Linked DNA regions of Callithrix jacchus. The protein of the gene in region 2 interacts with the protein of the main gene of each other region in a biochemical or structural test. Links are inferred from orthologs where the notes say so. Each region holds a gene or a part of one and is shown on either strand. Other genes may lie near its edges.

Evidence for each region.
Region 1: the proteins of SLX4 (region 2) and EME1 form a complex in vitro, tested with the Homo sapiens proteins (3 studies listed by BioGRID, with this or other methods). The link is inferred for Callithrix jacchus from reciprocal best matches to the Homo sapiens genes SLX4 and EME1.

Annotation. Positions count from the first base shown.
Region 1 is NC_133506.1:115,950,727-115,955,226, forward strand, and holds the start of EME1 (structure-specific endonuclease subunit EME1), read right to left. Parts: upstream 3,008-4,500; 5' UTR 2,965-3,007; intron 1,027-2,964; 5' UTR 1,003-1,026; coding exon 228-1,002; intron 146-227; coding exon 18-145; intron 1-17. Other genes in the region: MRPL27 (large ribosomal subunit protein bL27m), read left to right, coding at 3,072-3,111. UniProt on the Homo sapiens protein: Non-catalytic subunit of the structure-specific, heterodimeric DNA endonuclease MUS81-EME1 which is involved in the maintenance of genome stability. In the complex, EME1 is required for DNA cleavage, participating in DNA recognition and bending.
Region 2 is NC_133513.1:5,691,365-5,694,969, forward strand, and holds part of SLX4 (structure-specific endonuclease subunit SLX4), read right to left. Parts: intron 882-3,605; coding exon 779-881; intron 1-778. UniProt on the Homo sapiens protein: Regulatory subunit that interacts with and increases the activity of different structure-specific endonucleases.

The DNA.
Region 1 (4,500 bases), on a different chromosome or scaffold from region 2:
TGTCAGAAAACACCTACCACAGATGGCTCAGCCCTTCTCCTCCAAGTGACGCTGCAAGGCACGGCCTGCGCCTCGATCACACAGCGGCACTCCATGGACTGCAGTGCTCCCAGGAGCTGGCCCCCACCTTCCATCTGTAAAAGCACTGCAACAGATGGAAAAGGGACTGTCAGTGGATGGTCCAGAAAGCAGACAACTCAGCAAAGGACAAAGACACATGCGAGAACCTGGATCCAGCACCACAATGATGTGTTTTAAACATTCCTCTGGCCTCTGGGCTTTCATCCTGGTTACCGGTGCTGCCTTCTGTCTTTCCTGTTGTCTCAGGGTGCTTTCCTTCTGCCTTACTTGTCTCTGCTGCTGGCATCCCTGTGAGACTCTTCCCTGGACCTTCTGACTCTGCTTGGTTTTCTTTTGGGGTGGGAGGATTTCAGAATTTGTTTTGGTTACTGCCAAGCTGCTGCTCTGGCCAGAGCAGGTAGACTGGTAGGCTGGAAGCTGACGGCATGGATCTAAGATTGGGTCCTTGTTATCTAATGCACTCCTCTCTGGAGTATCATGGAGGGGAAGTTCAGGGATCTTTGAAAAGGGCTGCTTTTTCCAGTCACATGACACACCTTCATTATTTTGATAATCCAAAACACTTTTAATTAGGGAGCTAGAGTCCTCAGGGCTCAGTTGCCTGTGGGTCAGAAATTTATGTATAAGCCTCTGAGCTAGAGGAATAGATTCTTCATCCTCACTTCCACTGCACAGCAAACTGACTGACTGTGTTTGTGTGACAGTTTCAGCTGTGTCTGGGACAGGTGGTGAATCTTTCAAGCCTGGTGATGGAGGACAGGAGGCCTCAGAATCTGAGATGTCAACTACTACAATCTTCTCTTCCCTTTTAGGCTGTCTCCTCTTTGTTAAAGGTTCCTTCTTCAGAAAGGCAAATGTTGGCAACTCCTCAGAGTCACTGTCACCAGAATCCAGTGAGGGTGATGACTTCTTCAGAGCCATCAGTATGTGCTATCAAATCATTCCCTAAAAGGAAAAGAGACATACGACACAGACTGGAGTATTCAATTCAGTCCACTAGCTGTGGTCCATAGCCAAGCTTTATGAAGAAAAATATAAGATATAGGTAATACAGAAACAGAGAAATATGACATGGCCCCAACACATTCAATCTGGAACTCTAACTCCTGGTAGTCTAACAGGAATCCTCTTCAAATTCTTTCCAGATGACTATAAACAAAGTAGAGTTACCATTACAAAATTGTAATGGGGGCTAGTAACAAGATTTAACACCTCCACCCCCTTGTTGATGTCCACATTTGAAATGGAGACGTCAAAAGTTACACTTTTTTTTTTTTTTTTTTTTGAGATGGGAGTCTCACTCTGCTGCCCAGGTTGGAGTGCAGTGGCATAATCTTAACTCACTGCAACCTCTGCCTCCCAGGTTCAAGTGATTCTCCTGCCTCGGTCTTCTGAGTAGCTGCGATTACAGGCATGTGCCACCACGCCTGGATAATTTTTGTATTTTTAGTGAGGACGGAGTTTCACCATGTTGGCCAGGCTGGTCATAAACTCCTGACCTCAGGTGATCTGCGTGCCTTGACCTCCCAAAGTGCTGAGATTACAGGTGTGAACCACCACACCTGGTCAAAAGCTGGTTTTTTTTTTTGTTGTTGTTGTTGTTTTTCAAAACTGAGATAAAGGCTGGGCATGGTAGCTCATGCCTATAATCTCAGCACTTTAGGAGGCCAAGGCAGAAGGATCACTTGAGTCCAGGAGTTGGAGATCAGCCTAGGCAACATAGTAAGAAGTCATCTCTACAAAAAAAATACAAAACTTAGCTGGATGTGGTAGCTCACATCTATAGTCTCAGACACTCAGAAAGATGAGGCGGGAGTATCGCTTGAGCCTGGGAGGTCAAGCCTGCAGTGAGCTGTGATTGTACCACTGCACTCCAGCTTGGGTGAGAGTGAGACCCTGCTTCAAAAGAAAAATAAAATAAAAAGACATATAATTCGCACATCATAATATCCTTTGAAAAGTGTACATTCAGAAGTTTAGTATTTTCACAATGTTGTGCAACCATCATCATTTATTTTCATCACCTCAAAAAGAATTCCTGCACCCATTAAGCAGTCACTGTCCATTTCCTCCCTCTCCCCAGCTCCTGGCGACCATAAATCTCTCTATGCATTTGCCTATTCTGGATATTTCATATAAATAGAATCACACAATATGTGGCCTTTCATGACTGGCTTTTTTCACTTAGCATAATGTTTTCAAGGTTTATTTATGATGTAGCCTGTATCAGTATTTACTGCTTTTTATGACTGACTAATATTCCATTGTATGAATATGCTACATTTTGTTTATCCATTAATCACTTGGACATTTGTTTCCTTTTTTTTTTTTTTTTTTTTTGGGCTACTATGAATAACGCTGCTATGAACATTGATGTACAAGTTTTAGTGGGGTATGTTTTCAAATCCCTTGCGTGTATATACCTAGGAGTAGAATTGCTGGGTCATGTGCAAAGTTAATCATTCCTTGAACATTTACTAACACTGTAGGTATGACCCAGGAGGAGACATGTAACCTGCCTCGGTCTCAGTTTCTTCCTTAGTAAAACAGGGACGGTAACAGCCCCATTTTATAAGGTGGTGAGAATTAAATGAAATAATGCATCCACCGCGCTTAGTACAGTATCTGGCACACAGCTGGCTGAGTAAAGTAAATTGAATGACTAAGGAGGGGGCCTCATCTCTGACCCTTCGCTGGGGCTCCGCTGACATCTGCAAATGAGGGGAGTGGGACAAGTGGGCCCCTGCCCGATAAGCTCTGCGCCTTTCAGGCTGGCGGTCCGCTGCAGAGACTCCTAAATGCCCTGGCCACCAAGACGCCGCAGAGCGGTACTCAGGAGGGAAGCCCTACCCAATCCGCAGGCCCGCGACCGGGGATACTCACCTGCAAGTTCTCCCGCCACTCTTTCAACTGCCACACAAGACCCGGAAGTACAGCTACTGATAGCGGAAGTAGAACCTTTTGGGGACCGGAAGTTGGTGAACGCAAACATGGCGTCGGCGGCGGTGGCGCTAAGGATCCGGACAGCCGGTAATGGGACGCGGTAATCAGAGCGGGGCGAGCAGGGGAGGCAGAGTGGTAGAGCCAGCAGGGAGGGAAGGAGATGACATTAATCTCTGCGGAGGACCCCGAATGCAAGGGAAAGTCTGTGGGGCACTCCAGGTTTGAGAGCCGGCTGTTGCTGGTCACGTGACAAATCCTGAGTGAAGCCGTGGGTGAGGGAGTTTGAGGAGCACTTGTCCTTACCCTCCCTCCGGAGCACGGACGGCTTCCTTGTCGGTTGGGGGTTTGGGTGGATCCTTCCTTTCTGTGTAGAAGCATTAGTAACATTGGCACACTGGGGCTGAAAAAGTTAATCTGATCATTCCACAGATTGAGGTCTTACTTTGTGCTAGACACAGAGGTAGGTGTTCGGAAAATTTGCAGAGAACATGAAGACAGTAGGCCTCTAACTCCCGAACGGTTCCCTCTGGTGCAGAAGCCAATAAATGAACACATAAAATAGTTGTAAACTGGCAAGTGCTGTGAAGAAAGAGTGTGTGTGTGTGTGTGTGTGTGTGTGTCTGTCTGTCTCTCTGTGTGTTTTTTTAGTTTGGACGGTGAAGGAAGTCCTCTAAGGTCCTGTGAGGAGATAACATTTAAGACCTAAAGAATGACAGAAGGCGTGCAGTGGCTCATGCCTGTAATTCCAGCACTTTGGGAGGCCGAGGTGGGCGGATCGCTTGAGCCCAGGAGTTCAAGACTAGCCTGAGCAACATGACAAAACCCTGTCTCTACAAAAAATACAAAAATTAGCTGGGTGTGGTGGCGCGTGCCTGTGGTCCCAGACACTTAGGAGGCTGAGGTGGGATGTCAAGGCTGCAGTGAGCTGTGTTCATACCACTGCACTCCAGCCTGAGTGACAGAATGGAGCCTTGTGTCAAAAAAAAAAAATAGAATTACAGGACAGTTAGCCCTGTGTAGAGTGAGGGACAGGAGAGTGACTTGAGCCAGTTTTATGTTTTGAGAAGCAAACTCTTGCTCTTATGTAAATTTAAAGGGGATAGGAGTAGAAATTAGGAAATCAGATGGAAAGCTATAATAGTACTTATGAGGAGAGAGAATTTAGCCAAGGTGTTTGTGGTGGCAGTGAACTGGGAGGAAAATGGATGAATTTGAGATCTGTTTTGGAGTTAGCATCCACAGAGCTTGCTGATGAACTGGGTATGTGAGGTCAGCGAAGAGAAGGGATCTGCAGTGACTGTGGTTTCTGCCTAAGCAACTGGATGGATGGTGGCACCATTTGCTTTGAGGAGGAGAATGGGGAGTAGGATGAAAGATTGGTGAATGAGATCATGTAAGTAAAGTAAAAGCCTAGTTCCTGAGCTTAGTAAGTACATGAATGAATGAATAGATGTTTAGAGGTAGGTATATCCTGGT
Region 2 (3,605 bases):
TAAGCTTACTCTGATGATTCCAAATGAAACACACCAGCCGGGCACAATGGCTCATGCCTACAATCCCAGCAGTTTGTCAGGCCAAGGCAGGAGGATCACTTGAGTCCAGGAGTTCAAGGCCAGTCTGGGCAACATAGCAAAACCCCGTCTCTACAAAAACTACAAAAATTAGCCAGGCGTAGTGGTGTCACCTGTAGTCACAGCTACTAGGAGGCTGAGGTAGAAGGATCGCTTAAGCCCGGGAGGTTGAGGCTACAGTGAGCCAAGGTCACATACTCCAGCGTAGGCAACAGAGTGAGACTCTGTCTCCAAAAATAAAATAAAAACCAGACATAAGATATACTGCTCCCAGTTCTGATGGATGGTAGCAGCAGCAGCCTCCCTGGGTGCCTGAGCGGAAGAGCACCGTCATGTGGATGTGAGAGTTCAATGTTCTTTTAAAAAAATCAGGCCTCCTCACTCAGACTGCTCTGGCTAGGGGCCACTTCCATCCACAAGGAACATGGGGACCTGCTGCCCATGGGTGACATGCCAGAGTCTACGTGTTGGCTCCCTGGGAAGGGTGCACAGAGAGGACTGGGCAGCTCACCCTGGCACCCAGCAGTCATGCATGCTCCCCACGAAGCAGACCGCAGACCCTTTCTCCCAAGCCCAGGCCAGCTGCATCCACCGGACCCCAAGGGACCACGTGGGGGACCCTCCCACCCCCAGGCCTGTGAAACCTGGTTACTCGTGGGAGGGAAAAGCCCACTGTGGGCAAGCTTGGAAGACCACCAACCTATCCAGTTCCTTCTTCAGCACCGGGGTCTCCATAATGGAATACTGTGGCATTGGAGTTATGGGCACTTTGGGGGGCAAATTCTTCTTCCAATTAGCACCTTCTGGGTAAAACAAAAGAAGCACACGTTTTAGCACAAGGGACCCGAATTTCCCACGTGTGATCCCAGTAGCGTCACCAAGAGGAATACTGCACCTGAAGATAACCCAAGCAACACTTTTTCTCCATGAAAGCAACAAAGGAACTTTGTTTTCCCGTTTACAGCACCGGGGACATGCACTGAGGGCCACCCCTTGTATAACACAGATGCCGGCTGAACAGGGCTCCTGGGGCAGCACAGCACGTCACAATATCTTACACATGTAAACTTAAAAACGTCTGACCCACAGTGACAACCTGAGACAATGGGTCACACTGATACTCTTCAAACAGGCTTGGCTGCGTGCTCACGCCTGTAATCCTAGCACTTTGGGAGGCTGAGGTGGGCAGATCATGAGGTCAGGAGTTCCAGACCAGCCTGGCCAAGATGGTGGAACCCTGTTTCTAATGAAAATATAAAAATTAACCGGGCGTGGTGGCTTGTGCCTGTAATCTCAGCTACTTGGGAGGCTGAGTTGCAGTGAGCTGAGATTGCACCACTGCACTCCAGCCTGGACAACAGAGCGAGACTCCGTCTCAAAAAAAAGAACAAAGAAAGAAAAAAAAAAATAGGCTTAGATATCAGTTTTGTTTTTTAAAAATAATTTCATCAATTAAAACCCAGTTATTCACAAGGTAATAACGAAAAAAAAAAACCCACTCAAAAAAATGGGCAAAGAATGTGAACATACATTTCTCCAAAGAAAATGTACAGCATGGCCAATAACCACATGAAAAGCTGCCCGACATCATTAGTCATCAGGGAAATTCAAACCACAGTGAGATACCACTGCACGCCCGCTAGGAGGGCCATGACAGAAACACCGAGCGCTTGGGCAACATGGCAAAACCACAAATCTACAAAAAAAAAAAAAAAAAACAGCTGGGTATGGCGGCCCAAGCCTGTAGTTCCAGCTACTCGGGAGGCTGAGGTGGGAAGATCGCCTCAGCCAGGAAGGTCGAGGCTGCAGCAAGCCGTGAACACACCGCTGCACTCCAGCCTGGGCAGTGCAGCAAGACCTTATCTCAAAACAAACACAACTACAACAACAAGGATAACGAGTGCTGGCAGAGACAGAAAACGGTGAAGTCCTTTGGGAAGTAGTCTAGCAGTTCCTCAAAATGCTACACACAGTTGCCATCTGACCCAGCAATTCCACTGCTAAGTATAGAACCAAGAAGAATGAAAACTTACGTCTACACAAAAGCTTGCATGTGAATGTTCCTGAGTAGCATTATTAACCACCAAGGAGTAAAAACAACCCACGTGTTCATAATGGATGAACGGATAAGCAAAACTGGCATGCCACCAGTGGGAATTAGACATAGAAAGGAATGTATGCCCAAAGCCAGGGCAACATAGCAAGACCCTGTCTCTAAAAAAAAAAAAAAATTAGCCAGGCATGGTGGCACCTGCCTGTAGTCTCAGCTACTCAGGAGGCTGAGGTGGGAGGATCACTTGAGCCTGGGAGGTCGAGGCTGCAGTGAGTTGTGATTCTGCACTGCACTCCAGGCTGGGTAACAGCAAGAGCACTACTCAAAAACTGGCCGGGTGCAGTGGCTCAGGCCTGTAATCCCATCACTTTGGGAGACTGTGGTGGGTGGATCACTTGAGGTTAGGAGTTTGAGATCAGCCTGGTCAACATGATGAAACCTTGTCTCTACAAATACAAAACAAATTACAGGTGGCAGGTGCCTGTAATCCCACCTACTCGGGAGGCTGAGGCGGGAGAAGTGCTTGAACCAGGACGGTGGACGTTGCAGTGAGGCGAGATTGCACTGCTGCACTCTAGCTTGGGCAACAGAGCAAGACTCTGTCTTAAAAAAACAAAAACAAAAAGAAAACAGAATAAAAAGGAATAAAGTACTGATCCATGCTACAACATGTATGAATCTTGAAAACTGTGTGCTAACTGAAAGAAGCCAGACACAAAAGGCCACATATCAGTAACATATGGCTCTGTTTATGACATGTCCAGGACAGGCAAATCTATACAGACAGAAAGTAGATTCTTGGTTGCCAGGCCTGGGGGAAGGGGAAGGGGAAGGGGAGAGACGGTTCATGAGTTTGGGATTTATTGTTGAGATGATGAGAATGTTCTGGAAGTAGATGGTGACAATGGTATAACACTGTGAATGGACTAACAACCACTGAACTGTCCATTTTAAAAGGGTAGTTTTTTTTTGTTTTTTTGTTTTTTTCCTTTTGAGACGGAGTCTCACTCTGTTGCTCAGACTGGAGTGTGTGCAGTGGTGCAATCTGGGCTCACTGCAACCTCTGCCTCCCCAGTTCAAGCAATTCTCCTGCCTTAGCCTCCTGAGTAGCTGGGACTAAAGGCACATGCCACCACGCCCGGCTAATTTTTTATAATTTTAGTAGAGACAGGGTTTCACCATGTTAGCCAGCATGGTCTCGAACTCCTGACTTTGTGATCCACCCACCTTGGCCTCCCAAAGTGCTGGGATTACTGGTGTGAGCCACCGCACCTGCCCCAAAAGGGCAGATTTTATGGTATGTGAATTATATCTAAATAAAGCTCTCACTCTGTGAGAGCTGGAATATCTCTCTCAGGCGTGAGGTGGCTCATGCCTGTAATCCCAGCACTTTGGGAGGCCAAGGCGGGTGGATCACCTGAGGTCAGAAGCTGAAGACCAGCCTGACCAACATGGTGAAACCCCGTCTCTACTA